Linked DNA regions of Saccharomyces cerevisiae S288C. The protein of the gene in region 2 interacts with the protein of the main gene of each other region in a biochemical or structural test. Each region holds a gene or a part of one and is shown on either strand. Other genes may lie near its edges. The genes, in order: PET111 and AIM23.

What was found.
Region 1: the proteins of AIM23 (region 2) and PET111 form a complex in vitro, tested with the Saccharomyces cerevisiae proteins (one study listed by BioGRID).

The regions. Positions count from the first base shown.
Region 1 is NC_001145.3:778,977-783,796, reverse strand, and holds PET111 (Pet111p), read left to right. Parts: upstream 1-1,765; coding exon 1,766-4,168; downstream 4,169-4,820. Other genes in the region: ROY1 (Roy1p), read left to right, coding at 1-1,177; COX7 (cytochrome c oxidase subunit VII), read left to right, coding at 4,670-4,820. UniProt on the Saccharomyces cerevisiae protein: Required for translation of the mitochondrial gene for cytochrome c oxidase subunit II (COX2).
Region 2 is NC_001142.9:163,670-167,358, forward strand, and holds AIM23 (Aim23p), read right to left. Parts: upstream 1,680-3,689; coding exon 609-1,679; downstream 1-608. Other genes in the region: YJL132W (uncharacterized protein), read left to right, coding at 1-497; URA2 (bifunctional carbamoylphosphate synthetase/aspartate transcarbamylase), read right to left, coding at 2,054-3,689.

The DNA.
Region 1 (4,820 bases), on a different chromosome or scaffold from region 2:
AGTAGTATATGGCGAAACTGGATTTGATGGTATCAAATTATGGCAAAACTTCAAAAGCTTAAAATGGCAATTACCTGAATCGTTGGATTTGCAAAACGTAATAATCCCTGAAGTGGGTGTAATGTTAATGAAGCAACTTAATGGAGGAGAGTTAGAAATAAAGGACGAAGCGTACTCAAGCCTAAGGGTCTTTGAATACTTTGATTCCCTGAACCTCCGCTTCAAGAATCTGCGCCGTTTGAAGCTTAATCATGTTCACAAACAAGGTGATGGGAGTGCTACTTCTATGAGATTATCTTCACGCGCGTTTAAGGATGTAGTTAATTTATCCAATCTTAAAGCCCTTGAATTAGAATTTTCTTGTGAGGTGGACGACTGTGAATGTGATGATGACTTTCTTCAAGATATAACAGGAAACCTTGTTTCCTTAACAAGTCTGGGGTTCATTGAAAAGACATTCACCAAAAAAGGGTACCATTACATGGACGAGAAATGGGACTTGGTCGTTAATAAGTTTATTTTAAATTTACCAAACGTGAGTAAAGATTTGCGTTTGTTAAGCATACGACATGACCCACCTTTAAATGGCAAGGGCATTGATACTGTTGATGGGAACTTGCTTCGCCGTAAAAAACTTTATGAAAAGGTTTTACCAAAGCTAACTTCGTTGGAAACAATAATAGCTCCAACTGTATTGCAGTCCATCACCTCATATGAAATGTATGCGTGTGACCTTTTGTGGAACGGCTGCAAATGTGCGTTCTGCTCCAAATACTTACCATTATTTGATAAGTACATCATGAATCATCAATACTTTTCGACCCCGGATGCAAGATACTTGGATATTATACCGATAGTGTTTGCAGCATATACTGGAAAATCTCTAGCTAAGAGGTTTGATCCTCAGAAGAACTGGGATTTGGATTTACTACAGTATGCCCCTGAGGATACGACGTGGAATTTCCATGGCTTTGAGAGAATTCATCACTTTGCAAGTTATGAATGTTATTTTGACGAATCCTCATTTGAGCCCTTAGCCACTATTATATCGCATTTTTTTTATCCTTACATGAACTACTTGATAAAGATATTGCCAAACCTTCGCCAAACTATGTTGTCAGGAATATACTTTAGCGTGAGCCCAGAATTACACACTTATGAAACTATTTATGATTAAACTTGATAGTTGTGATAAACATTTCTTATGTACATTTGTTGAAGGAGTTCGTATATATACAGCCAGTTGAGTAATAATTATATTTTACTATTGCATTTCATAATTATTACCCGGACCTTACGAGTTCTTCGAATAATAACCATATATTTCAGAAAGGTAGGCATACCGAAGGAAGAGACAATGAAAAAACTGAAATGAACAAGCTTCTGTATACGATCCAAGGATCAGAAACGGTTGTTATTTATTGTTTGGACTTCTTGTTGTTAGGCTTTATTTACCGTGCATAATACTATCTGATACTTTGAGAAACCCCTCCCCCCACAGAAAGGTTCAAAATTTACAATTGCTGCACTAGGTCTACACTTTCCTCTAGATTTGTAACTTGAAGACCCCATTCCAATCGTTTAACCTGTCTTTCCTTTTATTATCGTTTTATTCTCTTCCTTTTTTATAAAATTCTATCTGGTATAGAGCATTTTTATGTTGATCATAACTTTTCATGTATTCTATTAATTACACCACAACTTTGATATCGTCAAATTTTTTATCACTACCTATTAAATTTAAACAATTGCTTACGAGAACTTAATGTTACAACGGAGATTTATATCCTCCAGTGGTATAAAGAGATTACTTCACAGAGAATCAAACAAGGTTATGCACACTGTTTTCTTTAAAGTACGATATTACTCAACTGAGTTGATCAAAAAAAAGCATAAGGAAGATATTGAGGATTGGGTTAAAGCGCAACTAAAAGATTCTTCAACAATAAGCGGTGTGTATGAGTCTCGGAATAAACTCGATTGGATGGACTCCATTACCAAAAGCCCCAGCAGCTTAGATATTCTTAAGAATCAATATAATATAGTGAAAGACAAAGATTTTGGAATATTGTGGAAGCAAAAATTCGAAAGTGCAGATCCAGATATTTTGATGACAATAATTAGCCTTTCCACTAACCAAAAGGTTTTGTTTTCAATACAGCAATTACTGATCTTAATAAATTCTCTTCACTTTTTGAAAAGGGACTACGATATTGGACAAATATACACAACATATGAGCAATTCACGCCCTTATTAGCAAGCCACACTGATAAAGGCACATATGGTCAGTTCATCGAAATTATGTTGGTAGTACAGCATAATTTACATCATTTTGATGTCTGTGAAACTTTATTTGCAGAATATATCAAATATTGCAAAGTAAAGCCACAAATGATATCTTTAGGATTAAACTCTTTCATAAGGAGTAATAACACTCAACTAGCGGTGGAATTTTACACGCAAGCAATTACCAATCCTGATACATTTCCAATAACTGAAAAGCAGCTTTTTGAGTTTCTCCGATGTATGGAAAGATATCTAGATATGTCCAGTATGAAACACATCTTTTATCTCTGGTTGAAAGTGAAATGTGGTGATGAGCAATCCTCTTCAACTAACCTTCCCTCGTTCAAAACCCTCGCGATAATACACAGAATGTTATTACGTTTTTCTAATACAGATGAGCTAAACGATTTTTTAACCAATCCCGTTGTTTTAAGTACGGGATATACATCAAGTGTGCAGTTTGAGTTGATTGAATTTTGTCATTCTCTGTATTGCATCAAAGGAGACAGAACAAAAAGCATTGATGACTCAATATTGATGGAAAGAGTTGATAAATTTATTACCAGACTTAATAATAATATTTCAACACGAAAAGAGCTATATATGTCAGTGGTTCAAGCGTACGTCTCTACTAACAATTTCGAGAATTTAAAAGTAATCTTGGAAAAAATCCAGAGAGATAATGATATTAGCATAGACGGTTCGTTTCATTTGTGCATTTCTAGGTATTTTGTCAACACCAATCAATTCGAAGGACTTTTCAAATATTATCGCAGTGTAGTTAAAACCACTGATGGTAAAACGCGATTACGGCCCGCATTTATTCAACAATTATGGTCATGTGCCGTAAATGTTTATCCAATGCTGGCAAAAGAAATTACAAATGACCTACTTGTGACTCTAAAAAGGAGCCAATACAGCAAATGTCTCACTTGGGTGTACACATTTTTACAAGAAAATGCCCATATCCATACGAGAAAGATCAATGGAGGAGAAGACTCTTCGTTATCTGGTTTCAACGCGGTTGATTTTGAAAGGTTTGAAGAGTTCAAGAAAAAAGTTTCTCACAATGATGTATATGGAGCAGAATTGGTGATTTCGAATAGTTTGAAGGAGGGCATTGCGCCTCAATTTTCATTTTTGTATTCCGTTTTGGCATTATGCTTGAGAAACTCTTTAACTGGTTTGGCACGTGTAGTTGATGTGATATTAAGGACCAGATTCCGCTATATCCCACTAAAAGTCGATATATTATGGTTGAAATGGGAGATCATTTCTAATTATAGATCTTTTGAAAAGTTGTCTGCTGAACATTTAAAAGAACTGGAATTCAAACTGAAGGAATTTGAACGAGTACATCAAAAGGAGCTTTCAGTTCAAAACTATTTACAACTTACTCAAATATGTTTCCACACCCGTGATTTCAAATATGCATGTTACCTAATTTCACAAGCTAGAAAAAATTTGGATACTTCAAATAACAAACAGTGGATGATGTATTACATGACATCTTTAAAGTTGGCGTCAAGAATGCATGAAAGCGAACGGTTTAGTAGGATTTTAAAAGACTGGAATTGTAATCATAGGGCAAGCCTGATTACTCCAGGTTGCATTAGACAAATCAAAGGCTTTATGAAATATTTTGAGAAAAGGCCTGCTTACATTTCAACTGCTGCTTCCATTGATAACAAGGAGATAAAGGATCGCATTGACGAGTTAGTACTTAGATATGTGGACTATAAATACCAGGGGCTTGAGAATATGAGAAAGTTAACACTTTTCTTAAAAGAATGGTTTGATGAAGAGATTTCACTATTAAAGTTGGAGCAAAATGAAAGGAAAATGAAGCTTTTTGAAGAGAATAAAAAGGAGGAGGAGTAATCTTTTCAGTTATTTACCTTCCTTTCTCTCACGTGTAAATATTTGTGTGTCATACACACCGCTAAAAACCTTTGCATCAACTTATACCCTACATTTCTATAGACGCTATTTGGAAACAAGATGTAACCCTTTTTTTCTTTTAGTTTTGAGATTTGTACTCGTAAAGAGTACGTTTATTTATTTATTCAAATTTTATTCTTCATACCATGTAAATATAAGCGCATATAATCACTACGATCTTAGTACAGCTAGAATTGCTGACGCTTACAATTGCTTTATTGTTTGATTATATGCACGTATACATATAGTGTCAGCAAAAAAAAAAAAAGGCAGTACTTGATTGGCTACGCCGCGCATCGTCCGAGAAATCCGGCCTGGTAGGGGCAGGTTTGAAAAGGCGGATAGAAATAAAAGATGATATTATTTATTCATCCCATGAATAGTAGAACTCGATATAAGATTCTAAACCAACAAGTACAGAAAGCAAAACAATAATAAATAATGGCTAATAAAGTTATTCAACTACAGAAAATCTTCCAATCTTCCACTAAACCTCTATGGTGGAGACATCCAAGGTCAGCTTTATACCTGTATCCATTTTATGCTATTTTTGCGGTAGCCGTCGTTACACCACTTCTATACATTCCAAATG
Region 2 (3,689 bases):
GTATGTTCGGTGCAGCCATATATTCTTGGAATTTTGAAGGTATGAGTTTTGTAGCCGTATCTCAACCAATGTTTGACACTGTGTTTATATATATTGAGAAGTCTGGGCAAATAGAGTTTTTCTTAAAACTGGTTCTAAAGATTAAGACAAAATCAGATTCAATCCCGGATGAGTTTGGTTCATCTTTGCTGTTTAATGACGAAGAAAAGAAATTGTACGTTTCCTCCCCAGGCAGTTTCGATGCAAGAGGAAGTATATGGAAAATTAGTATGGATGAGCTATTAAAGGCGGGAAACGATCCGAAGCGCAAAACCCTTTTGATTAATAATTTAAGGCATCTCATGCTCATAAATCCTGACAAAAGTAGCAAGGGTGTGTCAAATTTTGGTAATAGCATGATTTTGGGTCCCCAAAATCACCTTATAGTAGGCATTCCCCAATATGGGTATGGAAATTTTGATCACATGCAGCTAACCGGTAGAATCCTGGTACTTTAATGATAAGTTATTATGTACAAGCATCGGTTTAGTTCAATTACATTAATTTAATACTTGAAAAGCATATTTGGCAATATGCGCTATATATATTCTGATGTCATTTGCTTCTATTTACATTTCATTCATTTTTTTTCTCTGAATCCTTTTTTGCAATTTTTCTTGCCTCTCCTTCTTTCTCAATTCCTTTAACGCCCTCTTATCGTTGTTTTGTGGTTTAACGTCCTTTGGTATAAGTTTCATTATCATTTTCGAGTTCATGTTACCTAGCAGAACAGGATCATTAGCATATTCGCTAACTATCTCTTTCAATGTCTCCAAGACAGCAGCTCTTTTCTGGAAAACTGATTCTGGTAGCCTGGGTGGTTCACCTTTTTGAGAGCGGTCCAGCTCCTCAAAATTTTCAAGCCAATTGTTTGAATTTATGTTATTCTTGTCATCAAGATATAACGTTACTTTATTCCCTTTTTTCAATAGCGAAACTATTTCGTGAGCCTTCTGCCTTTTTAAATCATCGCTTTCAATCTGCCATGATATTTTAATATGCTTCAAGTTATCTTCTTTTTTATCAGTCACCAAATTCTTGTAAGACTTATTCAGTACTCCCAATTCCATCAGTTCCTTTTCCTTTTTTTTAGCCAGAAAGTCTGAATATTTTTTTAAGGCTACACGACTTTCGACTATCTTAACAAGTGGAATTTGATTTTCATTATCGATTTGCTCTACATTAACAATACTGAGTCCAACTTTATCGAGATCAATGCCCTTGGCAAAATACCGAATATTGGATGCTTCAATTCGGTGGGTAGTGGGATCCACAACTTTGATGTTTCCCTTGTGATTTTTTTTGAATATCTCACTAACAACTGAATTAGCTGCCTCTTTAGCTCGATCTGTCCCGGTGCTCCAAGTAATCAGGATTTTTTTCCTGTTAGTAGCATTCCTTGGCACTTGTTTCGGGCGCTTAATATACTCTTTAGGAAAAGCAGCATTTCTTGCCACATTTCCATGACTTTGCTCTTTAAGATTTGCCAGCTCACGTTTACGTTTCATTGCGTTGCGAAATATATCTGTGGTAGATGATGCATTGTCTCTGCTGAAGTATTTTGTGCAATGAAAATATCTAAAACTTTTTAAAAACAGCATCTTCTGTGAAAGAACATCACTCAAAGGAACTTTTAACATATCCACGGACCTGATGTTACCTCCTTACTGTGTATGCATCAGGTATGCATTTTGTGATATATAGCTGTTATAGTTTTCTGAACTTACTTTTTTAGACCCTTAAAGTTCTTACCGTCGCGGGAAAATTCAGGTAAAATTCAAGAGCTCAGGATGAAAACTAGACAAAAGGAACGAGATTACCTTCAACTCCTATGCCTTAAACATTTTTTGTTTCCTCAAGAAAATTTGTTTACAAAATCATTCCATCTTTTGTTTTAAATAAAAACTCGACTTTGGGAAATCATATTATTGAGTGTAATATACAAATAAAAATATTGGTTAAAAAAGTTTAATAATAGATTATAAATTTAAAATACGGATAGGTCTCTTATCATTCACATATCAACACCCATGACCATGGCCAACAAAGCCATTCTGACGAACAAACCATACTTCATTTGTCTGAAGTAAGCAGCACGATGATCGTAGTCCACTTCCTCTTTGATTTCATTTACACGAGGCAATGGATGCATGATAGCCATATTTTCTTTGGCGTGTGCCAAGATCTTGTTGTCCACGATATAAGTATCCTTCAGACGTGCATATTCTTCAGGGCTATTGAATCTTTCTTCTTGGACCCTTGTACAATACAGAACATCGGTCTTTGAGATGATATGAGGGGTTAATTCAATGCTCTCAACACCAAGTAAGCCAGCTTTTCTTAGCTCTTCTCTTAATCCTTCTGGTAACCTCAATTCCGGAGGAGAAACAAGATTAATTCTGACTTGATAGTGCATTAACAAACGACACAATGAATGTACGGTTCTACCATGTTTGAGATCACCCATGAAAGTAACAGTAATACCATTAACAGTACCGATTTCTTCACGAATCGTAAACAAATCCAAGAAGGCCTGCGTAGGATGCTCGCGAGAACCATTACCACCATTAATAATTGGAACAGGAGAATATTTAGCGGCGATATGAACAGACATTTCTTCTGAATGACGCATGACAATGGCATCACTGTAACAAGCCAAAGTTCTGATAGTATCTTGAAGGGTTTCACCTTTCTTGACAGAAGACACCAATGGATTAACATTTACAATTCTACCACCCAAACGTTCCATAGCAGCAATGAATGAAGAACAAGTACGAGTAGATGGTTCAAAGAAAATTGTAGTAATAACGTGGCCTTTCATTAAATCTAAGACACCTTCTCTTGCGACAGCTGCCCTTAGTTCTTGTGCAACAGCAAACAACACATGGAAATCAGAACGTTTGAATTGTTTGATAGACAATATATGTCTTCCGCGGAATGGATTGTTACTACGGATCAAATTCTGGATGGCGCCTGGAGCAACAAGTTCTCTTGGTGGCCTTGAAGACATCAATTTTTGTTCCAAAGGCTGTTCTGGAATTGCATCCTCCGCGGCATCTAAATTATCAGCGATTGCTTCTTCCGTGATCGAGAACCTTCTTTTAGCACTAGTAGATTGGAGCTCTGCGGAAGCAGTTATGGAAGCTGGACTTGGATTAACAATGCATTTTCCTTTGGCGCCTGGTGAAACTAATTCACCGCTCAAAACTAATGTTTCGCCATTATAGACAACACGCTCAATACCACCGTTCATATCTTTGTTGAATGGTGACCATCTCTTATTACGTCTGAAAGAATAATCCAAATCAATTTCGACAACTGAGTCCTGAGTAGGGATGTTGAAAATTTTAGCGGGATTGTCATGCAGACGAAGGACGATATCATCAATGGTTAATTTACCTTCTTCAACAGCAGCCAACAATAGTGGTAATGAATCTTTGATACCCATACCAACATCAACCTTGTTACCTGTGACATTTGCCAAGGCGACAGGAAGAGCACCGACAGAGAAAGCATCGATACTATCAAGGTTGTTCCAGAAAAACTCTTGATCTTCCTTAGTAGGCAAGAAAACTGCCTCCGGATAGTCATCTTGGGCAATAAACAAAGAATAAATATTGACATCACAAGTCACTCTAGGGTCTTTTGCC